Mytilus edulis: one gene and its partners. The protein of the gene in region 1 purifies or fractionates together with the protein of each later gene. This does not show direct contact. Links are inferred from orthologs where the notes say so. Each region holds a gene or a part of one and is shown in the gene's direction. Other genes may lie near its edges. The genes, in order: GPN-loop GTPase 1-like, RNA polymerase II-associated protein 1-like, DNA-directed RNA polymerase II subunit RPB7 and DNA-directed RNA polymerase II subunit GRINL1A-like.

Region 1 (7,939 bases):
TAAAGTAAGGATTATGACTTCCGTTGATGATCACCTAAAAACTACTCAATCGGCGTCTTTTAATCTTGTTGTATTTTCTTTTGAAAAGAAAGAGTGAGATAAAACAAAATGAAGAGGAATCTAAATTTTCTCAAGTCTCTTGTATCCAAGAATAAACAATTTTGTCAACTATAAACGACCTGAATAACGGAACTATCAATTGGAAATTACTCTCTCGGATAAAAGCCATAGAAAAAGGTTGTAACGGAAACAATTGAAAAAGTAAAAATAATGTTATTATAATAATGAAAGACCTTGACATACAAGTACATCGGTCTGATACCAGAATATCGATCCCCTTCCAATATTCACCCGGATTTATTTTAGCTTTACCAAGCTAAGCAAGAGTTGTGTCCCTTGTTCTGTCAAACTTCTGGTTTTGAGTCGAACTATGTGTATCTCGAAATATTTCTCTGGTCCGGCTGACTTCGAAATAACGAGAGTCGACTGTATATCAAAGTGAATTATTTTTACAATCCCATAAAAATTATCAAGTTTTGAGATGTAAAAACATGCTTTTAATGATTTTTCCCAATGTAGCTCATAATTTTTTATTAGAGTTCAAGACATGTGCAAAGGGCAGAAAATTTTTTAATTCTATTAATAAAGCAAAGAAATCATAAGAATTTAAGAAATGAAGATACATCAAAAGGATGACTTTTTCACTTATATAAGTAAAAAAATTTGACTGAATGTCTAAGGAACATAACTAAGCCAATTGTTTTTTCTATACAAGTAAATATAATTCACTTGTGTTAATATCATACAAATTTACTTATATACAATGTAAGTATATTAATATTACTTCTTCAAGTAAATAAAAATTACTTGTACAAGTAGAATCCCTTACTGACAGTGGCAATCCTTATTAATAAATTTTCACAACTTGGAAAAAAATGATATGCATATTTAGAATAGGAACATGTTTATGTAATATTAATATCATACCTCTTTGTCAGTTTCAAAACTGTCCAACATTTCAATAATATTTGTATGATGTAAGTTTCTCATAATCTCTATCTCTCTTCGTAAGTTTCTTAACTCCTTTTCTGGTTTTCCTACTTTTGGAATGAATTTTAAGGCCACCACCTAAAATAAATACAAGATATTATTTTACTGGATATTACTACATAATTGTTATTTTAAATTGTAAAGTAGAAAAGTTTGGAAGCTCTTCTATCTTTATAAATTCAAATGTACAATGATGTATGCATGGTTTATTCCTTTTTTTTTTTTAAATAATTAAGGTGGTACCTAACACTACAGGGAGATAACTCTGTAAATATCAGCTAAGCGTTTTAATGGCAATGTATTGTTAAGTTTCTCAATGATCAAAATGAGTGTTTGTGAAATTATAATATAACCAAAGAAATTTTTCTGATAAAGTGGTTGGTTTAATTTTTTTTTAATTTTTATATTTTTGTCAAAATTTTATCAAAATTAAACGAGCCAAATTAATATACGTCAAGGTGTTGGGTACCACCTTAAGATGATTGATTGTTGCTTGGATAAAGTTCATTTTCTAATGATTTTATATCTTCAAACATGGGCTTGTTATTTGCATCATTCCATCATGTTATATGCTTTTCTCCAACTAAAAAAAATAATCAAAATCATCCACCACAAGCATTTGCATTGCTCTACAAACCTTAAATATAAAAAGGTATAAAAAAAAGATGCAGTTGATACATTTTTGCAATAATTACGTCATGCCTTTTCTTACATTGACACACACATTTTCTATTTGGAAACGTGTTGTGCATGATTTTTATGTGTACTGAAGACATGTTTTTACCTGTGATGAAAACTTTTTTCTCCCTTTATACACTTTACCAAAAGATCCTTCACCAATAATTTCCAGAACATGATAGTTGTCCATTTTCTGTTTATTCTCTCTGGAAAAAAGGTTATAATTACTTGTACATGTATTGCATTACTTTTGATAACTAATGTTTGTAATAAACTATTTTCATATTTCTAATTTTTTGACTCCAGATTTTATAATTTTTCAACAGGTAATCTAATCTGTAGCTAATGACAATGTTAATGTGCTTGTACTTTACATCAATGCATACCAGTATGCTTTTCTCCATATCTCAAATACTAAAGAATGATTTTTTCAGTAGTTTAAGCAAGAAAAAAAACAAGAATGTGTCCATAATACATCTAGTACAGGAATGCCCCGCTCGCACTATCATTTTATATGTTCAATAGACCATGCAGGTCTGACCTTGAAATTGGGGTAAAAACTCTAATTTGACATTTAATCAACTTCATCAAAAACTACATTGTACCTTAATCAAAACCTTAACCTAAAGCGGGACAGACATATGAACAGACGCACATACTAAGAAACATAATGCCCCTCTACTTTAGAAGTTGGGACATGAAAAAGAAGGGTGTTTATAGTTGATATAATGAAGACATACTTCTATGTCTTACAAAATGGTTTATTTACTTCAATAAAGTAATATATATGTTCCTTATTACAATTTTATCAAGTGTAATTTTTTACTTGTTACTTTGTACACACGCAATGCAGACAAAAAATACTTGTATCACTAGTGTTTAAATGAATGTCAGACGAGTAAAGCACACCATTTCCACACCCTGGTTTTTATTTATATAATAGACTGCAACTAAAAATAAACATGAACATGATGAATATTCAACTTAAATAAATTTGGTCATGAGATTGTGTGAAATGTGCATGATGTCACAGATGTGTGATACCCTGAAATTTATCAAGGTTGACAGATAATAAAGTTTTGAACTACATGTTATGGTATACATGTGTCTCAAATAAATTGCTGAAGACAATAGCAACTGAAAGCGAGTATGGTGAACAACTGGGCGACTATATTTCTCTTTTGACTTCCAGCAAAGTGACCAATAGGAAAGCAAATTTATTGCCCCAGTCGCCTGCTAGCGCGAGCCTTGATTCAAGACATCCATGCCTGCATGCATAAGATAATTTGGAAAAACTAAAAGAAGAACTAAAACAGAATGCCAAGATACCAAACTCATAAGTCAAAACATGATGGCAAAAAAAAAAAAAAAAGAGAACAACTTGCACCAATGTAACCGGAGAGCATGATTTTACTTGTCAAATAATTGCATGTCTCCACTGGGACTCGAACCTCTGTGTTTCAAGGCAGCTCATTAACCGACTGAGCTAAAGAAATACTTCCTGTCACAATACTAAAGTTCATGACTGATATGATGATGAGTGACAGTGTCTTCCCAATCACTGTCTGTTAGTCCTAGTTCATTTGAAACTCTGGAGTTAACTTTACTTACTTGGGTTTCAACAAAACGATTTTACTTGAAACACTCGAGTCGAATCCGGGTCCATTCGCGCCCATTCACGTTCGGACCCACTCATGTTCGCCCCCTTTCACTTTCGCACCCTACATGTTCGCACCCATAGTCGTGTTGACACCCTACATGTTCGCGCCCAATTTTAATTGGTTTTGTGTTTAATAACTTTGTTATCAAGTTTTGGCAAGTGTATTCTTATAAGTATAATTGTTGTCATTGTCCATGTTGTCTCAAAATAAAGTGAGACAGCATTTTTTTATTTTGTGTTGAATAAATCTTAATCATGTTTCGGAAAGTGTATTGTTAAAAAAAAATAATAATCCTTTCTAAATAAAGTCATGAGTGGGATTCTGTCAAAGTTTTATTTTGTGTTGAAGAACTCTTAATCATGTTTTGGTTAGTGTATTGATAAACTTTGTTTCACTGACTTGTTTCAAAATAAAGTGAGATTCTGACTACGTTTTTTTTTTGTGTGTTGAATAAATTTTATCATGTTTTGGTTATAATTCGTGTATTGCTATATTTTATTGTTTCATTGTTACAGATCAAAGGGACCAAGCTGTTAAAAACAATTATCTTTTGTGTTTTTCATTTAAAATCTTCAATGTTTTACTCATACCAAGCTATAAATACATTCAGTATTTACACCAAAGCAATTTAAAACAACAATCATGATTTTCCAATTATTCAACTGGAATTTGAATTAAAATTGGACGCGAAGGTGTAGAGTGCGAACAGACCTTGGGTGCGAATGTACGAGGTGCGAACGTGTAGGGTGCGAAAGTGTATTGGGCGCGAACGGACCTGATACCACTTGAGTCAACCCCTCGTACCCTGGTTCCAACCCTCACCGAGCCAGGGTTAAACTTGAGAAACTCTTGAATGATGTCAAACCAATGAGAATATCTTATTTTTTATGCTGGGTCAGAGTTACTTAGAGTTGTTCCGAATATCAACTCTTGTGCGTTCACGTGATAATCTATTAACTCTGAAGTCGATTAATTTTGTAGAGTTTCAAGTGAACTCGGCCTTAGTGTTACAGGCCATTCATTAGGAGGCGGTACCCGGTACTTGTACCCTCCTATGCTATTGACAAGTGCCGCCTAAATGTAGGAATTTTTATATAAGATATTCATGGAATAAATTGAAAAGTACCACCTAGAAATGTGGAAAGTACCAGTCAACATGAAAGATAATGAAACCCCTGGTGTTAGAGCCAGTGAAGCCCTCGTTTTCTTAGAAACAATAATGTATCCAGTGTCTGGGGTGAATGTTTATGCATAATCGACAAATTACCTGCCAGGTTAAGAGTTAATTTGTTGTTTTGTCGATTTTTTTTTTAGATTGTTTACATCGTTGCTGCTTGTTTCAAGTTCCCCTCTTCCGGAATTCCAGCGCTTGCGTACCATTGTATCATCTATTTTCGTATTAAAAAAATAAGAAATAAGATAAGTTGTAATAGTAATGAGATCAAAAAAACAATCCTTATTTTAAATCTATAATAATCAGTTTATAATATGATACTATTATTTTCAACAGATATTTACAAAAACATACGAAAATAATGCTTCAACTAATTTGCTACTTATTTTCTGAAAAATGGCATGTTGTGAAAAAGTTGATGATAAAATTCCATCAGAAACACGAACAGAAGCACATACAATGAAAAAACCTACTTGCATTATAGTTCTTGGGATGGCAGGATCTGGAAAAACAACATTTGTTCAGGTGACAGTCGTCGTCGGCTAAATAATTTCACTTATTTTGCCTTGTTTACACATTTTTAAAACCACTGCAAAGCCAAAGCCAGACATATCATTATATCCATTAAAAATATACAATACAAGAATGTTATATCAATCTTAATTGCAAATCTTTATATAAAGAATTAACTATAGTTACTGATTTTTTTTATTAAAAAATAAACTGCATGTCCGGTATCGGGATCGTTCGCCCTGATTACATGTTCGCCCTAGGTTCGTTCGCACTGAGTTTGTTCGCCCTGGTATTCCGTTCGCCCTGAGTTCGTTCGCCCTATTCTCATAAATGATATGTATATGTTATATGTAATATGTTTCATTAATAAAAGAAATGTATATTTATATATATTAAAATTTATGTTTATCTATTAAAGCTGAATACAGAATATTAATTAAATAAAATTCGTAGCTGCATTGTTACACTCAGTTTATTTTATAATTACTTTTAATTACTGTTGAATGAATTTTGATTGCTGATTAGGTATAATTTGAAATCTTTGATATCACTGATTGTTGTATGAATTGTCTTTGATGGATTAATAATGAAAATAAAATTTTTCTCAAATAAAATAGTCAGCTTGGATGGGTAAAAACACTGATGTACAAATTGTTAGGCATGAAAGGGAAATTATTTTCGCAGCTTGGCTTCTTTGATCTCAAGTGCGTTTTGACAAATTTGTTATATATGCAGCCAAGCACGCAGGTGTTTCCTTCTACGTCCTAATTCCAGATCTTATGACAGAAGCAGAAGTCGTCGACTACAGTGTCCGTGCCGAAGACCTAGAGCGTGACATCCATAGGAAGTACACCATCCTAGAAGAGAAGATCCAGACAGCATGGGACCAATACATTGGCAATGTGATCACAACAACACACTTTCTGAAAGTTATTGCCAAACTGTACAAGCCGTCCGACATATTCAATTAAATACACACAACACAACACTATAATAAAAAATAAAAATCGTAAATATTCGGCGAAATTGTAGACTGACTTCAACATATTCAATTAAATACACACAACACAACACTATAATAAAAAATAAAAATCGTAAATATTCGGCGAAATTGTAGACTGACTTCAACATATTTAATTAAATACACAGAACACAACACTATAATTATAAAAAATATAAATCAGGGCGAACAGGTATCAGGGCGAACGGTCTCAGGGCGAAAAGGAACTAGGGCGAACAGTAACTAGGGCGAACAAAAATCAGGGCGGACGAGGGGTCTCATCATGCTCATTGGGGGTTCTGATCCCGGATCCCGCTTACTGTTTTGTCTGATTCCCATATCCCGCTAACACTATGTACGTAAGCAATTCTCTTTTTTTTTGTAATTTCACGTGTCCCGCTAGACTCCATTTCCCGTTTTCATGGCATAATAAATTGACTTTCACGTTTCATGCTTACCAAAAAAACAGCAATCCCGCGTCACGCTTAGACCCCAATGAGACCCACGTACAATATACAGTCAGGAGTGCTACTTAAAAATTGCATATATTCAAATAAGCTGTAAAACTTAGAATTAAAGCTTATCAAGCAAATGACAATTACTGCATGTACATAGTTGTTTTTTCAATGTAAATCAGGTCTTTTTACCAATAAAAAAATCGAGTTTGTGGGAAAAATATCCCAAAAATGTTATAAACACTTATTGAAGTGATTAAATTTTAACTTCTCAAATTACTTGTTTCAGTGATTTTGAAAAGTCTGTGCGAAAATTTTAAATATTTCACAGGCAAAATCACTCAAAGAAGTGATTTTGAAATCATTTTTTTTATTTACCACCCCTGACTGATATACAAATACTTTTGAACATGTTGAAATTTTTTTTCTTATTTAATACACCTAATCGCTAATCCCAGCTGAACCGGCTGCTTGAACTTTTGATGCATACAGCAATCACTTTTCCATTGTGGCGTCAGATATTTTGTTGTATGACGTCAACATTTTATGAGAACCTGTGTGATATCCAGTAATGGCGGTCAGATAGCAATAAGGTGTATTAAAAAATATACTACATGTACATTATCTGTGAACAGTCAGGGGACTTACTTAAATGAGTGATTTTCTAAATCACTGATTCAAGTAACATTATTTCCACAAAGGTTGAAAGTAAGAGTTGTCTTTCTTTAATAATCACCTATTTTAGTAGTACAAATTAATCACTAGAAGAAGTGATTTAATTTTATTGAAGCTTTAAATATAGAATACCAATGATCAAGGGACTAATTATGTTTCTAAAATTATCAGAACCAACATCTGTGTTTTTGGATGACTACATGTAGGTCATTTCAGGTGATGACCTTGTACTGAATCTAGGATAATGACATAAAAATCACTTGTTTAAGTATCATACCTCAATTTCCTTCCCAAAAATCACTTCTTTAAGTATCGTTATTTTAATAACCCCCACTAATTTCAACACCCCCGAACAGTGAAATTTTTATCACAAACAGTAGAATTTTATTACATAATCTGAAAGATGAAACCTTGAACTTCACAGGAAAAATACTTCCACTGCTGAGAAAAATCTGTTAACAAAGTATCAGTTCATTATGTAAAGCCAATATTATAGCATTTTTTCAATTAAAATAGAATTTGCAGCTAAATGATAGCATTAAAGGCATAAACCTTGCTACTTAAAAGAAGCAAAAAGGTATTTTTTTTTCAATTTTACTAATGAAAAGATATTATTTAAACCTATGTGTTTAAAATTTTGGTAAAACTACAAAATCCCAATTTGTGACAAAACTTTGAATTTGCTACTTAAATAAGTGATTTAAAAATCACTTATTTAAGTAAGTCCCCTGAC
Region 2 (6,987 bases), on another chromosome or scaffold:
GCATCACTTCCAGCATCGGATGCATCATCAAAATCTGGACCTTTTGGGGCCTCTCTAACAGGGGGAAGTAACTGCTGGACATCTAACTTTTTAACATAGTTGGCAGACAAGGGCAGAGTTTCATTTAATTCATTGGGGTCTGTTGTCTCTGGTACGAAATTTTCTACGATTTGTTGGAGGTTTCTCTCAAAGTACATTCTTTTCCAGTTGCCACCATATTGAGAAACATCACAAATTTCCCATCTTGCTTTGCAGCATCTGTTCCAGTAATCCTCTTCCTGTACCAGATTAGCAGTAATCTTCAAAGGTATGTCAGTGGAGATTTTGTCCAACACTTTAGACTTGTATCTTGGTGGGAGGTCATTCAAAATGGTAGAGTTATCTGAAAAAAAAATGGAAATCAGTTATTTTTTTATGATAATTCATGAAAAACATATGCAGATATAAGAAGATGTGGTATGAGTGAAAATTAGTCAATTCCTAACCCAAGTCGCAATTAGAAAAAGTAAACAATTATACATGTAGGTCAAAGTATGGTCTTCAACACGAAGCCTTTGCATTAATGATATAAATAATTCAAACAGCTTTGTCATTTATATCTAAATTTCTAAGTGTTTTGTGTGATTTAGAGTAAATCAAAGTAATTCATTTTAGATGATTGATCCATTTAACATACCCAAAACTAAAAGCATCCAGTATTTATGTAATATACATCAATTTATGACAACAGAAAAAAAAACCCCAATCAATGTAAAATATATTAAAGAAAGGGGATGTAGTAAGATTACATATGAAATTATCCACCAGATATCAAAGGAAAGGATGTTAAAACTACAGTTCACCTTATAGCCTTCAATAATGAGCAAAAAAAAATATTGTATAGAAAACTATCAAAGGCAAAAGTTAGTAATATTTTCACCACAATTTTCATTATAATTAAAGAATGAACAGTTTCTGAGAATCGGCTTTTATCCTAAAAGTAAGTCAAGGTTATTGTAATTATGTTTAACATTTTCCTACTGTAAATGTATAATTATTTTAGAAATTTATGATATAAAACTATTTGCTTACTATCAAAATGTGTAACTATATGTTTGATACACAAATCCACCAGTAATGGGACAGTTGCCAGTGAATATGCTGGATCTTCAGCTATAATTCTCCTCATCTGTCTCCAGTCAGCTGCTGGATTATCTCCCCTAACAGATCCAGCAGGAGTTGCTGCCATAGCTGGTCTACCACTACTCTTCCCACTCTTCCCTGATTGAGCAGACCCAGCTCTAGATGGTTGTTTAGAACCAGGCTGACTTTTTGGTCCACTCTTTGTACTTTTGGCATCGTCATCAATTTTATCTTCCCCTGTACCATCTGTTACTGCTGGATCAGACATCTTGGCTAAAAATAATAAATCATTGCAATCAGTTTTCATTTAAAAAATAATTATGTAAAAGTTTTAACAAATCTGTGCCTCTTAGACACTGTAGTCCTATAGCTTATTAAATTAAACTGGAGAAAAGTGTACTACAACTGCAAATGTTAGGTTTATATTATAACTCTCCCATTACATGTATGTTAATTTTACATGATCTGTAGTAAATTTTCTAGCAAAAAGAGGAGCCTAATCCAGATACTACTTAAATTGTATTTCAATATTTTTGTTAGCATTGAAACCAACTGAAAATATCTATAAGTTAATTCAAGCACTTTACCTGTATACATGTACGTGGTATATTTAACTTAAAAGGAATAACAGTCAGATCCACTGCAAATGAATATTGACTTACTTTTTTTAATGAAAAATGTAATTAGGTTATTTGTTTTTAAATCTAATTGGAAGTTCTGGTCCATGACATGTGACAGCTTATCAAAAAGTTTTCAAATTTTGTCACTAATTAATAATTAGTGTTCACAAAATTGTCATTTTAAAAGACAACAATCACAGTTAATTAATTATGAATTTTACATCATTCACAGAAAATATAACAACATATTATTAAAGCATTACAATGTATAAATGAATGTGTTAAACAATTTGGTGTAGTGAGTCTATTTATACCTTAATTCTAAACTAGCTTTTAATATTGTAATTTGTTGATAAAAATATGAAGACAAAATTAAAGTTAAATAAATTCAATATACCTTTTATTTGACCAATTTTGATTTCAACATCTAATAGTTTTTTCTCTGACAGTCATTTATTATTTTATTTTTGATCAATTGCCAAGCTATAGGTATTGTCATGGTCAATTTATACCCAAAAAAATGCTGAGCTCTTTGACTGCAGAAGTATACAGGGGTGATTTTTAAAAATTTAAATAAAGACTTCATCTACAGCATTTTCAATTCAGAATGTCATAACTTAAATATCGTCACAAATAAAATCCTTAACAACAGAACCAAAACCGAAAATCAGAAACCTTACAGTATTTGTGTTTCTTTTTATACAGATTTTGAAGTTAAAATGTTTTAATTAAAAAAAATAATTCATACAGTCTTTGTCCCTTTCACAGGTAATGCCTGTCTCATATCATTTAAAGCTGTCTTAAGATGTTTGCATTTGCCTAAATGAGTGTGGTTTTGTAAAATTAATCTTAATGGCTATTAATTTCAAGATGTGAGTACTTGTTATGAATAATATATGACAAGAACTAGTCATTGTTAAGGATAAAGCAACATATTTGAAATTCCTTCCATATTGTTGGAATTGGTAGTCAGATCTTGTACCCCATCTGTATAGATGGTACTACATGTATATAATATACATGTAGGAGGGTAGTAATGGGGGTACCTTCATGGTGTATAACAGTAAAAATTCTTGTCGTATGAAGTTAACAGTAATTTTTAGTGCATGACGTTAAAAAAAACCAGCTTAATTTGATAAATCACTCTGTTTTTTTTCTCCAAATATAACAGTAACGTTAAATATTTGAGACATCTGACAAATTACGATAAGGATATTTTGACGAATAATGGTAAAATTTTAACCAATTTGACCCTAATGGTAGCCGTAAATGACTGTTTAATGCCTGAAGGTAAAGGGCATTACAACCCTCATGTAGGGTATCGGGAGCGTTCCCCCTTAAAACATGTTCCCCCTAGGTCTGTTCGTTCACCCATAGGGTTTGTTCGCCCTACTATAAAAATATTAATATTGAGGGCATTGAAGTTGAATGAAAATAGATATTTCTATGGTATGTACATGTATATAATATTCTTGAAATTTATTGAAATATTTAAAAGTTTATGGCTTGTTTAGGATAATTAATTGTTCACTGACAAAATAATTTGAATCACTGATTATTGTGTCATACTTGTCTTTTGGCCGATTAATAATAAAAACAAATCTGTTGTTTTGATAAAATATTCAGCTTGAAATTAATAAAAACAATGATGTACAACTGTAAATTATGAAACGGATAAAATTTACAAGTTTATTTATTTATACTCTAGTCTATAAAGACTAGTCATACTGCCATACATTCGTGATTGACTGAATACAATCATTTTGTTAACAATTTATATCAATAAAGATGAATACATTGTATTCCAGTATTCTACTCTGCAAATCAAAGGGAAAATGATAAATTGATTGCAGCAATATAAATATTCTGTAAATTAAAAAAAAAAACCAAACTTTAACATATTTTGTTCAAATACTTAAAATAATGCGACTAGACAAAAACTAGAAAAAAATAAAAATCAGGGCGAACGGACCCGGATTCCTCAAATAGTAGTACATGTGAGTAACAAAATATTCTGATACTGTGATGACTGATGTCAAGCCCAAAGGTTTGTGATAATTATTTGCTCTAATTATGTTACACACTATATACAGAAACGTCTTTGATATAAGAGTATATTAAGACTTATTTTGCCATTTAAGTGACGCAAAAGTCTGAACATAGAATAGAATTTACCAGTTTACTCTGCAGTATGATCTTCTAAAAGCTTCTCGTTACTATGACAATCCGGAAGTAGATTTTCAAGCGAGTTCCGTATCCGGTGGAAAAACAAAATGGCTGCGCCCATCTGCAGGTTTTCTGCTGACATAGTTTTTCATTTTCATTTAAATATATCCCATTTCATATGAATTCAGGTATATTGAATTAAATGTAAAGTAGATAATATGAGGCAGGCATTACCTGTGAAAGGAGACGAAGTCTGTATGATTTTTTTTTGTAACTTCAAAATGTGTTAGAAAAGAATAGGAAATACCGTATAAACGCTCTCCGATTTTGGTTCTGTTGAAAATCACCCGAAATTAAAGATCTTATATACAACTGTACCACGATTTCCCAAGGTAAACAAGCGCACAACAAACATTTACAGGACAGTCAACCTAATGATGGTGGTCACTTTAATAGTGGTAGAAGCACAGCACAGGGGCTTGTTACAATAAATTTGCCGGGTTTACTATCCATACGAAACCCAAAAAAAAACACAAGGGAGGAAGCTCATTTGCGACAATGCTTCAAATTATTGCTGTAAAATTTTTCTAAGACTTTCACTTCCTTTGTGAACTGAATAAATCTGTTCCCACTTGAATTATCTCTGCAATGACCATGATGACATATATTTATTACCTTAAGTAACCTCTAATATGAGGCAGGCATTACCTGTAAATGGGGACGAAGTCTATAGGAATTATTTTTTTGTACCTTAAATATTTGTTAAAAAAAAAAAAGAAATGGAAATACCGTAACGTTTCCCGGATTTTGGTTCTGACCTGTTGTTAGGGATTTTAGTTGTGACGTTATTTAAGTAATGACGTCATATACAATGTAAACAAAGAAACGCTATCATCAGGTAACGTTTTTTCATATCGAGGAATTATAAAAAATGAAATTGGTATTGCGTTCTTTCCTATTTTATACAAGACTGATAAATATATATTTTACTCAAAGTTTCATACAAACGAGACCGGAAAAAGGAAGTACATTGTAGATTTCTGCGCAGATCTGGAAATTCAAAAACGCGACAAAAAAAAAATTGAATGATTTTGAGTTCATTAGTACAATGAAAAAATTTTCCCGATATTTTTTTTTTAATTTTTTTTTATTGAATTTTCTACTGTTATTGGGGACTTCGTTCCCATATAACTATTGCAGTCCTTAAAACAAACTTGACATTTCTGAAATAGAACGAATCGAGGCCCTACATTTGAAAATGAAAGTACTAAAGTGACACCTACCGGAAATATATTTTCAGCACTCTCAGGTATTTACCATCAATGTTATGTTTTTCGGAAGGCTAGGTATTTTAGATTTCAATAATGTAAAAGTTGGCGGGAATTATTAGGTACACACTGTCTTTCATTGTCATATTGTGTTAAACTCCCGAGAGAGACGAAAATATATTTTCTGGTATATCTACAATATTAGAATTTCTAAAATTATATTTACAATCTTTCAATACTACTTAATCATGTAAGCATGGTGGTGACAATTTATATAAAATCTTAAAACACTCAATAGCCATGTTACGCATACGTCTTATTTTCAATGATGGAACCTTTGCTCGTAAAATTAGTTCATCATATGAACTAACATAGTCTTCATATATAAATCGTAAAGCCCTTTCCTGAATTTTTACCAATTTGGTGGTGTTATTTTTGTTGCAAAAATGCCATGCCAAAGGACAAAAATTAAAATTAGATAAAATAAATGTGTGGAAAATGGTAAATTTATTCAATTTAGTAAGGTAGCAGCCAATGCGCTTTAAAACATTCAGATGTTGGGATGCTTTACGACAAATATTTTTAATGTGGTGATTAAAATTAAGTTGATAGTCAATATCAATACCTAAAAGTTTGACAATCTCATCACAGGATATTTTTGCTGACTGTATATATCAAAAACGGGCTTTTTTGCAAATGTTTTATTTTCAACTGCAATGGCTTGGAATTTGTCAGGATTTGCCTGCATACAATTAAAACTAAACCAGTCAATTAAAACAGCACTTTCTCTTTCAAGTGTACATAATAAATTTTCAAAATTGTTGTCTGCATATGACAGAGTATTATCATCAGCATAATTATATAGGGTACCATGTTCAATAAAATAGAATATGTCATTTATAAAAATATTAAATAATAGGGGCCCCAGGATTGAGCCTTGGGGTACCCCTTTCTGGATTTCATCCCAACTGCTGAGTACTCCCTGAAGTTTGATTTGTTGCCTACGATCTGTAAGATAATTTTGAAGTAATTTCACTGATTTAAAAGAAAGACCGTAGGCAGATAATTTACTTAAAAGAATATCATGTGGTAAACAGTCAAAAGCTTTTGAAAGATCCATAAGAATAGCTGCCACATACATATTATTATACAGGGCTGTTTTCCAATCTTCAAGGAGTCTCAGCAAAGTTGTCTGACATCCATGACCTTTTCTGAATGCACATAAAAAAGCATGAAATATATTCTCAAAAAATTCAGTCAACTGGTCAGACATAACCATTTCATATACTTTTGAAATTGTTGGTAAAATGCTCACAGGTCTATATTTCTTTTTATCCAGTGGGTCATTATACCCCCGCTTTGAAAAAAAGGGGGGTATACTGTTTTACCTCTGTCTGTCCTTCCGTCAGTCCGTCAGTCTGTCAGTCAGTCCGTCCGTCCCATGAATATTTTTCGTCACATTTTTCTCAGGAACTACACTACAAGGATTTCTGAAATTTGGTTTCAGGCTTGATATAAGTCAGCTATACTGTGTGATGCGTTTTTAGATTCATCAATCGCCAACTTCCTGTCTACCGAACACTTGTATGATTTTACACATGATAGCCAAGTTGAAAATTTTCGTCACATTTTTCTCAGGAACTACAACATTTGTACAATACAAGGATTTCTGAAATTTGGTATCAGGCTTGATATAAGTCAGCTATACCGTGTGATGCGTTTTAAGATTCATCACTTGACAACTTCCTGTTTACCGAACACTTGTATGATTTTACCCAAGATAGCCAAGTTGTGAAAATTTTCGTAACAAT
Region 3 (7,048 bases), on another chromosome or scaffold:
TTTATAAAGAATATTTCCATAAAAAATTGGATGTGAAATACCTGAACGTATAAGAAGTCTGCATGTTGAGCTATATTTACGAATGATGTCCTTAAATCGATGATAAAATTTAGTAAATGTTTTGACTAGTTTGTGATATCAAAAACCCTGGTGTGATAATTTTTCAGTAATACATAAATTTCTCTCGTTAAAATCTAAAACATTGTTACATACACGAGCGAATCGTACAAGTTGAGATATATAAACACAGTAAGATGGTGACAAGGGAACGTCACCATCTAAAAATGGATAATTAACGATTAAGCTTTCTGTTAGTGATATAGATATCAAGATCGAGGAAAGGGCAGTGGTCATTGTTAGTATTAGTTTTATTTAAAGTAAGTTCAACAGGATAAATTTCTTTAGTATACATACTGAAGTCGTCATTATTGAAAGCCAAAATATCATCCAAATATCTATAAGTATTATTAAATTTGTTTATCAGATGTTGTTTCGATGGGTCTTTGCTGATTTTTGTCATAAATTGTAACTCATAGCAATACAAAAACAGGTCCGCAACAAGTCGTCAAGTGGTGCACAGTTAGTCCCCATTGATATTTCGATAACCTGACAATATACGGAATCTCCAAAGCGAACAAAAATGTTTTCTATGTACATTGATGTATGACAAAAAAATACTTGGTTTTGTACAATTTGGATACACTGAAAATCTAGGTATAATGCCTGGTTCATGATACAATTATGACATATTGGTAAATATATAAATTCAGATTAGATGAGAAAATCTAGCTTATTTGAAAAGCATAGTTTAGTTGGTTATTATGAAATAATTTAGTTTTAGATGTAAGGCGTCTTCTGATGCTGATGTTGTTTATCAGTTCATAATTTTGTCATATGACCCTGACGTCATCAACGTTTTTTCATGGTTTATTCTGGTTTAAAATGGAATTTAGAATTAAATTTTAAGAAATGACTGTAATATTTTTTGTCTTTTCGAAATAACATAAAAAAATGTGTTGCACACTTTAAAATAACCCCTATGCGGGTTATTCAGTGTGCACCACATTTTAATGTTATTTCTTCATAGACAGAAAAAATATTACAGTTATTCCTTAAATATTTTTTCAAAAATTTACTGTAATGACATTCCTCTTTAATATATTTCAGAAACTAAATATTACTGTTTCTAAGTTAAAGTATCTTGTTTCAGTTTCAAATCATTTTTGACTCATTAAGGCCAAAAGCATAACATAAAACTTTGGAAACTCTATTTAACTTGGATACCTTGGATAGGTGCCAAATATTTTTGGATGTAGATCTACAATACCAAGCTTTTCATCTTCCAGTGTTGCCATTGTATCTAACCATGCTTGTTTGGATGGCAGATGCTCAGATGGATATTCCAGTTGTCTTGATGTAACAATTGGCAATGGTGGTCTATCTGGTACATAAAGGTGTGGATCTGTCATAAAAAGTGTATACATAGATTTAATGTGTGGCAAACATAAAGGTGACACAATTGGGATTTTTTGGTTTCCCTCAATGAAATACTTTTAAAGATGGATTACAAAAAATTCTAGCAAAAGGATGTCATCTAAAGTCAACAATGATCATGATGATGTAAGGCTTATAAATAAGTATGCCAGACATGTATAAAAATTTTTGTAAAATACACAATTCTAACAAACCGACATAATTACCTGATGCTGTTTCTAACTCTCCTGTAACATCTGTTTTGTCTTCTGCCCTCAAACTTCCTGTTGTTGTCACATTCTGTTAAAACCAAATGTGATAATTATCATTAGTTAGAATCATGTGATGCACACAGGCTAGGTCCAAATCCATTTGCAAACTATTGTTATTTATCATAAAGAAACATAGAAATCAAACATGTCAAATATGAAAAATTGTTCAAATCTTGAAAAACAACTGAAGGAGTGAAATATCACTGGTGATATTACTGTTTGATTTTAGGCTAAGTTTTAGTAATTACTCATGATTATATAAAATTTCCTTTTCCTATTGTGAAGCTCAGTGTTCATACTCTGTACCTGGATGTGACCATTTGTAAAGGGGCGCAGGACATATTAGCGAAAAAATTAAAACTACTAGGGGACATTTGAGTGCCAACACAGTGTTCCAGCTAGGTTTTCAAAAGGGCAGGGTGCCAATCCTGAAAAAGGGCATTTAACGCGCGATATGATAATATGAAAAGGGCATATTTTAATAAAAGATGTTAATCAAACATTTGTGTTTATTCGTTGAATCACAGGTTATACAAGAACAACATCTTTAGCCCATATAGAACTCTATCTTTCTACTTTTAAGGCTGAAAAACTTGTCAAGCAGCTTGTCACACAAGTTTTTTTATCATTGCTTGGCACAGTTGAACTTTATATGCAGTATGTTTTGAAAGGAGATCTGTTTCATACTGTTGCTATGGTCTACCACATTTTACCAGTTTCACTTTTCTACCCCTGCTGTGCTTGATGGCAATACAGCACAAAACAGCTGTGCTCAGTAAATTCACAATTTTAGGATATATAGCAACAGTGAAAAATAGTATCAAAAATAAAACAGTAAAACAAAAATACCGAACTCAAATTCAAAATTCATAATCAGGAAGTCTTTACATTTAAATAAAAATGAGAATGGAAAAAACTGACAAAATTAAACCCTATCAATCAACGTGTACAGAACAAGTGAAAAACAACTGCATTTCCTGAATTTGTACTGACATTTTCCATAGCTACATTTTGCTAACCCCTCCCCCCCACCATTACTGTAAGTGTCCTGACAAGAGTACAACCGAAGTAACAGGACATCAAAATCATAAATGAAAAAAAGTGTGTTTGTTATAGTGGTCCTTTTGACTTTAGCCACCACTTTCTTAGATTGAACTATGTCTGTGTAAGGTATTTCGTAAGTATACCTCACCGAACTTAATTTCTTAGAACTAATATGTAGATTGTACATGGGCACATTAGTTCTTAAGAGAGGGGAGGGTTAAAGTGGTCACTTTGTTTACTTATTAATTAAACCATTTCTTTAAGAAAATTGGTTAAAGTCAGTATTATTTATTGTTCCTTTACTATTTCTCCTGAGACCGGTCATGTAAATATTCTTGTCAGGACTTCCGGTTTCTTTCACATGCCTGACATCGCGGCCAGGCTTAATGTCTGAAGGAACAATAAAAATGGCGTCACTCATCAGGTTCAGGGCAGTCTAAAGCTCAGAATTTGAAATGAGCTCATACTTGGACTATCGCTTTAGGAACTGTTACAATTTTTAAAAGCGATAATTATTTGAGACCTCTGAAAAATCACCATAAGGATATTTTAAAGATCACTGTAATATTTTAACCAGTTTGGTGCTAACGGTAGCTGAAAATGGTCTCCTGAAGGTAAAAGGCATTACTGCCCTCACGGAAACGAACTCCAGCTGAACAGTTGAAATCCTATGTGCTATTATGGCATCGAGAAGCAGGATACAGGATTCTCACTAAACAATAAGCGGGATCCGTGATCATACACCCTCTGAAGTGCAGCTCCATTATGATAAGTGGAGCAAGGTCAAGGGCTATGTCCTTGAACACACACCCTCATAAGTGCAGCTTCATTATGATTAGTGGAGCAAGGCCAAGGGCTATGAGCCTATGTCGGACGTCCTTGAAGTTGAAGAACACAACCCCCTTTTCGTGTGACTGACAGCCTCTCAGAATCTACAATAAGGTCTTCTGTTATGTAAATTGAAAGGTCTTCTGTTATGTAATTGAATATCTTACACGTGCTGCAGTAAATGTAAACAAATTCTTAAAATTTTGGCTATTAAGTCTACAAAATATATGCTTTGAACAAAACATTTTTAGTCCAATGTGATTATTTTTTCCTGGTACAGATGTTATGGTTGTAATGTTGAGCACGACAAAAACAGAATTTCTGCTTTAAAACCAGTTTGACTTTACTGGTTTACGAATTATTTTATATTAATTTGGCTTAATTTGTTATAGTGGTCCTTATTTCTTTGGGTACCAGAAAAAGGGGAGATAATTTTACATCGATTGTGAAATTTCAGCAAACAATGTTTTTTCATGTAAGCTCGTAATTCTACACAAACTCTCCCTCTTTACTCGTTTAAATATAAAACTTTCGTTTTGTATTCATGCTTTAAACTTTAAAAAGTGTTGTTAACTAATAAACTATGTGATATGAAGCCACAGGCACTTGCATTTGACTTGTTTCTATCCATAAATTATTCATTAATCAGGTTGGGAACCCTCTATATGGTGATTATACCTGTATAGAGGGATAATCCTTCTATAGAGGGGTAAAATTAGTCCTCTATAGAGGGGTATTTTTGTTTAGACTGGATTTAAATCAAAATAGGGCAGAACGGCATTCTCTACTTATTATGGCAGTAACCTGGAACAGTTGATGCACCAATTGATGTAATTAATTTAATATGCACATGCCCAGTTTGATGCTTATCTGATTAAATATAAAATCTATTGTTCACCATGATTGAAAGCTGTGATGATCAGGTAAATTCTACTCACTTATGCCTCACTGAACAGAATTTCTATTGTTAGATTTAACATGAAATTTAAAGGTCAACTATTCCTTTTGTTCTTGATCAGGTGTTCAGATAGGTTTACAATAGATTGCAAGTTTTGTCACTTTAGCAGAAAACTGGTTATCCCAATTTTTAGTAAAGTGCATATGTTGATTCATATAATGCTAGAGATTATAGCCAATATAACTAGAAAATGCCATTCTGCCCTAATTTGCTTTAAATCAGGTGCAAACAAAAATACCCCTCTTTAGAGGGATAATTTTATCCCTCTAAAGAAGGATTATCCCTCTGTAGAGGTATAATCACCATACAGGGGGTTTGTTCCCAACCTGTTAATTGGAAGACCCACTAAAACAGTAAAAGTCTATCAACGTTTTTTTACGAGTAAATATACGTTGATACTGGGTCTTCCAATGGATAGAAACAAGTGCCTGTGTAGGAAGCTGTGAACATGACTAAGACTAGTCCAAATAATAGTCCGAGATTACTCTGACGTCCAACGGCTGTTTTGCCCGACAAGCTGGGGCCGTGGGACGTCAGAGCTCATTCCATATCAAAAAGTGGATATTTGCCCACCCAAAATAGATGCGCTGCTTCATCGCTTCTGATGCCGACTGACGGCCTTGGAATTATATAAATCGGGCATCAATCTTCATTTTTCATTTATCTCTTCATTTATGTAAGTTTCACCTACCTGCCAACCTTTATTTTTCCATATTTTAACAGTTTTCACAGTGACCCATCGATTTCGGCATTTTGCCTCTCATGTTTAAAGATTATCACGTGACCACGAGAAAACAGTGATGATTTATGCAAATGACCATAATGTAACACCTCGTTCATTTACGATGCAAGTTATCTAAATATCCGAGAGCTTCCGATTGTAACGTGGTCGGAACTAAATGCTTCATACCGATCTCCTGTAAAGGAGGTGAAAAATCGTGGTTGGCTACTAAATGTTAAACATTGATATTTGCATATTTTGAGTCTCGAGACCACGAACTCTCTCGTAACTTGACGTCCATTTGAAAGTAAAAGTCAAAATGCCGAAATCGATGGGTCACTGTGAAAACTGTTAAGATATGGAAAAATAAAGGTTGGCAGGTAGTGAAACTTACATAAATGAAGAGATAAATGAAAAATGAACAGATTGATGCCCAATTTATATAATTCCAAGGCCGTCAGTCGGCATCAGAAGCGACGAAGTAGCGCATCTATTTTGGGTGGGCAAATATCCACTTTTTGATATGGGACGAGCTCTGACGTCCCACGGCCCCAGCTTGTCTGGCAAAACAGCTGTTGGACGTCAGAGTAATCTCGGACTATCCAAATAATTATGACGTCTGGCAAGGCTATTTTAACTTTTTTCTGGGACGCTTTCCTAGATTAAGACCATCAATTATTTTTTAGCACATATACAAATGGAAGCAGGACAAATTGCCCCACTGGCAAAACGCCCCACACCAAATCGCACCACTTTTTCACCAACTCGCACCAAGGTTTTCATAGGTATTGAAGTGGGACAGGGACATAGGTATACAACGGGATTGCATCTTTTTTCATAAGTGGGGCGAGTTGGCACTAATAAATTCATTGTGGTTTATCTATTTGTCCCAAGTGGGGCTAGTTGGCAAACCTTATTTCAGCGGGATTTCAACCCTTTTCATAAGTGGGGTATGTTGTTCAACCTTTATGCAATGGGATTTTACCCTTTTTCATAAGTGAGGCGATTTTTTATAAAGTGGGGCAAGTTTGTGAAAAAGTGGGGCGATTAGGAGTGGGGCGATTTGCCAGTGGGGCGATTTGTCATGGATTCATACAAATTATGACATTCAAAAATCTTAAGTAATTATAATGAAAAATAATGGATGGTACCAGTAGGATTCGAACCCTCAATCTCACCAGGTCTTCAACACTCTTGAAAAATCATGGATGGTACCAGCAGGATTCAAACCCTCAATCTCACCAGGTCTTAACACTCTTCCCCCTTTTCTTTTTTCGGGCTGCATACCATCCATCCGAACAACTTTCAGGTCTTGAGGTCAATATAATGCCACAACTGTTCTATTTGTGCTGGATTTTTTCATCCTGAGACATCTGCTCGGAAATATCTGGCCAGATCCACCTTCAAACGTAGATATCACAGTCATCTTATGACCAGCATGTCATCCATCATGACCATATCAAACTGCCAGGCACCTACATGAGTGGGGTAACAGGAATGACCAGATAACACTGTTATTATCCGAATAACACTTGAAATTTTAATATTAGCACATATTGGTGACTTTTAAACATTAAATATTACATCCAACATGGCGTCCATTGCGATTTCCGTAGTCATCATGTTGGATGTACACACTAAATTTAAAAAGATCTTTATGAACTTATATGCTTTCTGTAAATCATTTTTATGACCATATATTGAGTTAAAAAAAGTCGTCAAAAACATACGCTTTTTATTATAGCAAGCCCT
Region 4 (6,911 bases), on another chromosome or scaffold:
ATCATCAGTTTATTAAATATATCCTTAGTTTTTTTAATTATATGTTAGCAAAATTTGTCACATGTGAAGCAGGAACTGCTTTCCATTCTGGGGTGGTTTTTTTTGGTAGGGTTGCTGTTGCTCAGTTTTTAGTTTTCTATGTGATGTTTCTTACTTTTGTTCATCTTTATGTCGTCTTTTTTTTTGCCATGATATTGTCAGTATTTATTGGACTTTTTGATCTTTGAAAATCCTTCAGTAAATGTATCTTATTTCTATTTTCTCTAGAAGCTGGAGGAAAATATCTTACAATTTTTTCAATAGACCAATGGAAAATGCAATGGGCCATAACATTCATGAATTATCTTGCCCATTACTGTAATTCTAGTGTTTTCCTGTACTTTTTGCTGTATATTTCTTTTGTGTCATTTTCACTAGTCAAAAGGAGGACGGTTCAGAAAAAAAACTATTTGAACATACTAAATATTGATGTGTCTGACTGAGGTCAGGAACCGCATGGTCTAAAATAATTTTGTAACCATTTCCCTACCTGTGGTTTACAATACTCCTCCAACCATTGGAACACACATGCTGACAACTCTGCAAAGTTAGATACTGACACATTGGCATGAAACGACTGGAACAAAGTATCCATGATCTGCTGGAACTACAACAGTTGTAAAACTTATAAACAACATGTAATGTCAACAATTAGAAACAGTCAGAATAGGTACATTAATATATACTGTAAATTCAGAAAATATTGCGTGCATCTAATATTGCCATTTTGTCATTTTAGACTAAAATGCAATTTAATTTTTGCGATATTCAGAAAAATCCTGTTTGATTTAATGCAAGTTTTAAGTACCGTGATTATAACCCTGTCGCAATTTTCGCAATAATTTCTGAATTTACAGTAGTTGCCAATGTAACTAATCAAAAAAAAAAAATACCTTCCTTTTTTTTTTAATTAAAAAGGTCAAAACCATCAAAGATATTCTAAATTTTCTCAAAAAAGTTGAAATTTATTAAATTACAAATAACTTAAAAGACTAAACTCAGGAGTTAAAAGGCATACTGAGCTAATCACATTATAATACCATACTAACCACTTGAAACTTTGCCTCATCAGAAACTTGATTTTGTCCATGAGTTGGCTGATTCTGGTGAGTTTTAACTATATGCTCATAATTCCTGTAACATGAAAAAAATGTGATAGTCATTAGTAGGAATCATTACTGAAATCATTGAATAAATACATTTGGCATTAAGTTTTACTTAAGAATAACCATTACTTGATCCATGATATTAAAATAAACTTGAATCTGTGAGAGCACTAACAAGACTGGTGGGACAGAGGACTGGTGTTTCTATGTCCCCCAAAAAACATGTTGCACAGAGGACCAAAATATACATGCAGTACACTGCATTTTGATTGTGATGGCAAATTACTAATGAAAGATATGTATACTTGTACTGTGAGATGATTACTTGTGAGCACACTATTTCAACTCACAAGGTATGATTTATTGTTGTCGGTCTAATGTCCACTGGCAAATATCATAGATAATAAGAATGATAAGCTGTAAATATGCTATCTTGTTTATCAATTTATGCACCTGTTGATTCAAAATTCAGCTGGTTTAGAAGAAACAAAAACCACATACGCTTTAAATAAATATATACATGTATATCTGCTCATTGTCTAATAGAGAATTTTTTTTATGAGAAATACATGTATCATAATAATGTTATTTATGCTCATATGATACATGTACGGTAATATGTACTCACGCTTTCATAATCTTCAGAGCCATAACCTCTTTCCTTAGATTGTCCAAATCATCTTCTTGCTTTTTCTTTTGTGATACCAAATACTGAATGTAATCAATGGCTACAAAATAGAATGCATCTGGTAAATTGTAAATTTCTACAATTAATCTCATCAATTTTTTTTTAATAATTATAAATATGCAATGTGTGTGAATTAGCTTATTATTAAGACCCTGCTTTGTTGATGACCTTTAATTATTATTAACGTAACTCCTTTGTACATAGCATTGCCTTGTTCGCAATGACTCATTTTATGAAAATAATTTGTATAAACACAAGCCTGATTAATATATATCACTATATGTTATGTTTGTCACAGATCATGTTTTTGATTTATATGGCAATAAAAGTATGTATTTGATTTTGATTAATCCCAAGCAAAGTACTAGCCACAAGATTCACAATAATCGTGTCAATCTCAGATGTTTGCCAACCTATAAGCAATTGTTAGTTACTGCTTGCAAGATGAGGTATTCACTTAGAGCTTAGTTTTACAGTATTAAAATACTTCTCATGTGACTTTTATAACAGAAAAGTGTGTTTTTGTTAGGAAAAATAGTCTATCAAAAATGCTATCCAAACCATAAACTATCCCTAATCATACAACATCATTTGCAATGCCTAATTGAGTCAATTCTATCTGGACTTTCTTTTTTTTCAATCCAGAAGGAATGTCTATTTTGGACATCCTGCCCTTTATAATTGCAAAAAGAAATCTTGAATTGAAAATTTTTAAATATTTCCTTACAACGTTGAAGAACTGTTGCTTTACTGAGTTTCTGAGAGCCAACACTGTCTGTATTCTGACAGGTAGGAACAATATTCTGTAGTTCTTCATACCCTTTCTGTAATGATAAACTTAATATGTTATTTGACGCTCAATTGTATAACAGCTGTACACATGATGATAATGGATCAGTGTTTCATATCAAGTAGCAAATAATACATCCTTATCAAGACAAGAACAGATAAATGAATATGAATCCTGTACTGTATACATACTAGTCAGACTTGCTAAGCCAGATTTTTAATGTAATATTTCATAAGGTAACAATCCACATAAAGACATGCTACTCTCCACAGATACATTATTCTGAGGTCAAGCCAACCAATATTTCTATTACTCCTAAATGGAGGTTGCTTAAGCCTCGGTCACACCTTAAAGAAAAGCTCGAACAGATGCCCAACGGATTACTTTTTTTCAATCCGTTCATGTCCGTTAGACGTTCGTTTTTATCCGTTAGACATCCTTCCATATCCGTTGCATGTCCGTTTAGCGTACGTTTTATCCGTCTACGTCCGTTCTGTCCAGTGGACATTTTAGAGGCGTCCGTTTAGTACGGTACTTGTCCGTTTCGTTTCCGTTTTGTATCCGTTACGTGTCCGTTATACATCCGTTGGAGGTCTGGAAGATAAATTCACCAACGGACTTCTACCGGACATTAAACTGATAAAATGGATGTTGAACGAATGAGAAACAGACTTCTACTGGACTTATAATGGATAAAACGGATGATGAACGGATCTCAAACGGATAAATGCCATTTAAAAATTTCGCGTCAGAAATGCCAGTTATTGGTATGTCAAATTTCTTAAGAATCATGAATTCTTATTATTCATAATCGATCTTAGAGTAAGGGTACCTCTTCATAATCAAGCATCTCTTATTCAGGCCAGACACTGCCCTTTGGCGGCATTTTGAAGAACAAACCAAAATCAGTTACACAGAAACTTTTTGAATATTTTTGCAATTTAAATGTATTATTATTGTTGCCTTTAATTTTTCCGTATATCTTGTTCATCCTTTTTATCCGGTATGCTTCCGTTGGGTGTCTGTTTTATGTGGTACTTGTCCGTTAGATGTACTTTCGACATCCGTTCTGTGCAGTACGTTTCCGTTTCTCGTACGTTGCATATCCGGTGTGTGTCTGTTATGCATTCGTTACGCGTTCGTTTTATTTGGTCAGTACATCAACGGACATCCAACGGATAGCAATTTTGTCAACGGACAACTTTTATTTTCATCCGTTAGGCGTCCGTTCATGCTATCCGGTAAGGTGTGACCACAGCTGTAGAGAAAAGGCAACACATAGCAATTTTCAATTCTTTGATTTGTCGTAGCATGGAATGGGACCTACAAACTTCCACTTTAAAAGTGAAAAGCTACTGCAAGATTAAGCAGCAGTTGTGTACACAGGGTAATTCAAGGATATCTATCCATAACGAAAAGTTTACTACAATCAGTTGATATGAATTATCATGGCTATAACAACTCTTTAACAGTAATTTTTTGGGGCTCTTCAAATTATTTTTTTATTATTATAATTGTACCCTGGCTTTTTTTACAGCAACAAAACCTCCATCAATTAAATAAGGTAATGGGACCAATGCTGTAAATTCAGAAACTTTTGTGAATTTTTATTTATTGTGAATAAGTTGACTTGGTGAAGATTGTGCTTGTTAAAACTTGCATTCTGACTTTAAATATAACTGTATGCAGATTTGACTGAAATCGCAATAATTAATATTGCATTTTTGTCAATTGTTAAATAATAGCATGAACAATTGCACTGAAAAATCCACTTAGATGATGTTGATCAAAATTAGATATCATAACTCACTAATCCCCAAAGCAGACATAATTGCAAAGGCATGCATCTCCACTTACTTGTAAAACGTTTACATTTTTTAAAGCTTTAATACCTTAATGGCATCTCTCCTTTTCTGTTCTGCATGAGTGTGTGCTTCACGTCGACGATCTTTATATGTCATTGTTTGTTTGTTTGTATCACTGTCTTCATCATCTGCAAACATTTTATAACAGTTTTATTCCCAACATTTACAAATGTATGTAATTCCCAACATTTATTACCATAACTGGCTGAGTACATTACACATTTTTGTATAATATGTACCTTATGTCGTCCAAAATCGTGAAAAAAAGTCTTGTTAACTGTAAAAACTAAAAAGTCTTTGATGGGGAACTTTTTAACCACGTAGTTAATCATTGATTAAGTCTAGGTAAGTTTAAATATTAATCACTTAATATTAAGTAATAAACAATAAAATGGATGTATCCAGGGCCGTAACTAGCCTCTTTTAATAGTGAGGCAAAATATATTTGCCGAGCGTAGCGAGGCTAAAAAATTTTGGCGAGGGGTCTGAAGCTCTGAGAAAAATAACGCAAAATCGTGCATTCTGAGCGTTTCCCGGACTTTTTATTTACATTGAAACGCAATTAATTTTTAGCTATTTTTTCGACACGATACTGGTCTCAAAGCTAAAACATAGATTAATTGTAATTAAAGACTTTTAGGTTTCACAGGGACAACATTAAAAGTAGACCAATATGTAGGATAAAGCAACAAGAGGCTGTCACAACGACAGCAAACCGGATTTATTAATATTTATTTGTGTCCTGGCAATATCACAAGAACCATTACTGATGAATGGTGAAAGTGAAAATCATCAATATCAAATTTGACCTCCATTTTGTCATCAGTATCAACATCTTAAAATTTGAAAAGCTTAGATTGAATGGTTCATGAGTAAATGCAACAACGTGAATGGAAACGCCATTTCACAATCTTTCAAGAACCACAACTCCTGAACGGTAAAAGTCAAAATCATCATTATTGAACTTGACCTCTAATTTGCCATCAGTAACAACATATAAAAATTTCAAAAGCTTTGGTTGAATGGTTCATGAGAAAATGCACGGACACGACTGGAAACACCATTTTTCAATCTTTCAAGAACCATAACTCCTGAACGGTAAAAGTCAAAATCGTCTTTATTGAACTTGACTTCTATTTTGTCATCAGTAACAACATATTAAAATTTGGGAAGCTTAGGTAGAACAGTTCATGCGTAAATGCACGAAAACGACTGGAAACTCCATTTTTCAATCTTTCAAGAACCATAACTCCTGAACGGTTAAAGTCAAAATCGTCATTATTGAACTTGACCTCCATTTTGTCATCAGTAACAACATATTAAAATTTGGGAAGCTTAGGTAGAACAGTTCATGCGTAAATGCACGGACACGACTGGAAACTCCATTTTTCTATCTTTCAAGAACCATAACTTCTGAACGGTAAAAGTCAAAATCGCCATTATTAAACTTGACCTCCATTTTGTCATCAGTAACAACATATTAAAATTTGGGAAGCTTAGGTAGAACAGTTCATGCGTAAATGCACGAAAACGACTGGAAACTCCATTTTTCAATCTTTCAAGAACCATAACTCCTGAACAGTAAAAGTCAAAATCGCCATTATTGAACTTGACCTTCATTTAGTTGTCAGTAACAACATATTAAAATTTTAAAAGCTTTGGTTGAACGGTTCATGAGTTAATGCACGGACAACATTTGATTGCCGCCCGCCCGCCCGCCCGCCCGACCGACCGCCCGCCCGACAGCCCGCCGTACATCCCCAAATCAATAACCGACATTTTTGTCACAAAAATCCGGTTAAAAATCGTAAAAAATCATAATCATTAAAACCGGATCTGTCTGTCGTTCTGTTGTTGTCTTGTATAGTGCTTAGACTTTTTTTATTATTTTTTTTATTATATTTAAATATAGTGACAGTGCAACTATTATAATTATACTAGTACTGAAAAGTCGTCACTAAGGACCATCTTGACCTTGTTTTGGGGTATTAATGATTCTTTTATTGTTGAAGACCCTCCAGTAACTATCAAGATGAAGAACAAGAATAAAAACTTTGACCATTGATCATTGTATTTGTTTCTATGCATTGACTTTGTGTGAGATTATGTTCCGTGCACGTTTACTCCATGTTCCTTTATTTTCAGTTAAAGGGTCTGAACTTAATGCAAGTTTAACCCTTCAATGTAAAAGGTCATATTGAAATGCATTGATGTTTTTATAATTTATATAGATGACTTTATACGAGGAAATTAGAGGTCTTACTTTAATTTAATCCATGTCAGCTATCTTTCTACAAAAAAGAGCCAGTTTTCTTTGATATCAAGTTCAATTCTCCATGCAGAAACGATTTTTTTTTGCTGTGTCCAGAATAGCATCGTATATTCTTAAAATATTTTCTCACACAATTTCTGGACATCGGTGG

Evidence for each region.
Region 2: the proteins of GPN-loop GTPase 1-like (region 1) and RNA polymerase II-associated protein 1-like purify together in Homo sapiens (affinity purification with mass spectrometry; 3 studies listed by BioGRID and IntAct, with this or other methods). This does not show direct contact. The link is inferred for Mytilus edulis from reciprocal best matches to the Homo sapiens genes GPN1 and RPAP1.
Region 3: the proteins of GPN-loop GTPase 1-like (region 1) and DNA-directed RNA polymerase II subunit RPB7 purify together in Homo sapiens (affinity purification with mass spectrometry; 4 studies listed by BioGRID and IntAct, counting the BioPlex papers as one, with this or other methods). This does not show direct contact. The link is inferred for Mytilus edulis from reciprocal best matches to the Homo sapiens genes GPN1 and POLR2G.
Region 4: the proteins of GPN-loop GTPase 1-like (region 1) and DNA-directed RNA polymerase II subunit GRINL1A-like purify together in Homo sapiens (affinity purification with mass spectrometry; 3 studies listed by BioGRID and IntAct, counting the BioPlex papers as one, with this or other methods). This does not show direct contact. The link is inferred for Mytilus edulis from reciprocal best matches to the Homo sapiens genes GPN1 and POLR2M.

What each region holds. Positions count from the first base shown.
Region 1 is NC_092349.1:17,861,143-17,869,081, reverse strand, and holds the start of GPN-loop GTPase 1-like, read left to right. Parts: upstream 1-4,928; 5' UTR 4,929-4,959; coding exon 4,960-5,088; intron 5,089-7,939. Other genes in the region: serine/threonine-protein kinase 36-like, read right to left, coding at 988-1,128, 1,835-1,918. UniProt on the Homo sapiens protein: Small GTPase required for proper nuclear import of RNA polymerase II (RNAPII). May act at an RNAP assembly step prior to nuclear import.
Region 2 is NC_092346.1:62,500,392-62,507,378, reverse strand, and holds the start of RNA polymerase II-associated protein 1-like, read left to right. Parts: upstream 1-3,984; 5' UTR 3,985-4,096; intron 4,097-6,987. Other genes in the region: dynein regulatory complex subunit 5-like, read right to left, coding at 1-382, 1,072-1,390. UniProt on the Homo sapiens protein: Forms an interface between the RNA polymerase II enzyme and chaperone/scaffolding protein, suggesting that it is required to connect RNA polymerase II to regulators of protein complex formation.
Region 3 is NC_092346.1:55,903,266-55,910,313, reverse strand, and holds the start of DNA-directed RNA polymerase II subunit RPB7, read left to right. Parts: upstream 1-4,024; 5' UTR 4,025-4,080; coding exon 4,081-4,092; intron 4,093-7,048. Other genes in the region: large ribosomal subunit protein uL4m-like, read right to left, coding at 1,285-1,462, 1,701-1,773, 3,785-3,862. UniProt on the Homo sapiens protein: Core component of RNA polymerase II (Pol II), a DNA-dependent RNA polymerase which synthesizes mRNA precursors and many functional non-coding RNAs using the four ribonucleoside triphosphates as substrates.
Region 4 is NC_092347.1:30,986,487-30,993,397, forward strand, and holds the start of DNA-directed RNA polymerase II subunit GRINL1A-like, read left to right. Parts: upstream 1-3,901; 5' UTR 3,902-3,934; coding exon 3,935-4,010; intron 4,011-4,515; coding exon of another isoform or gene 4,516-4,616; intron 4,617-6,911. Other genes in the region: max-like protein X, read right to left, coding at 530-646, 1,089-1,173, 1,774-1,873, 2,561-2,657, 4,516-4,616.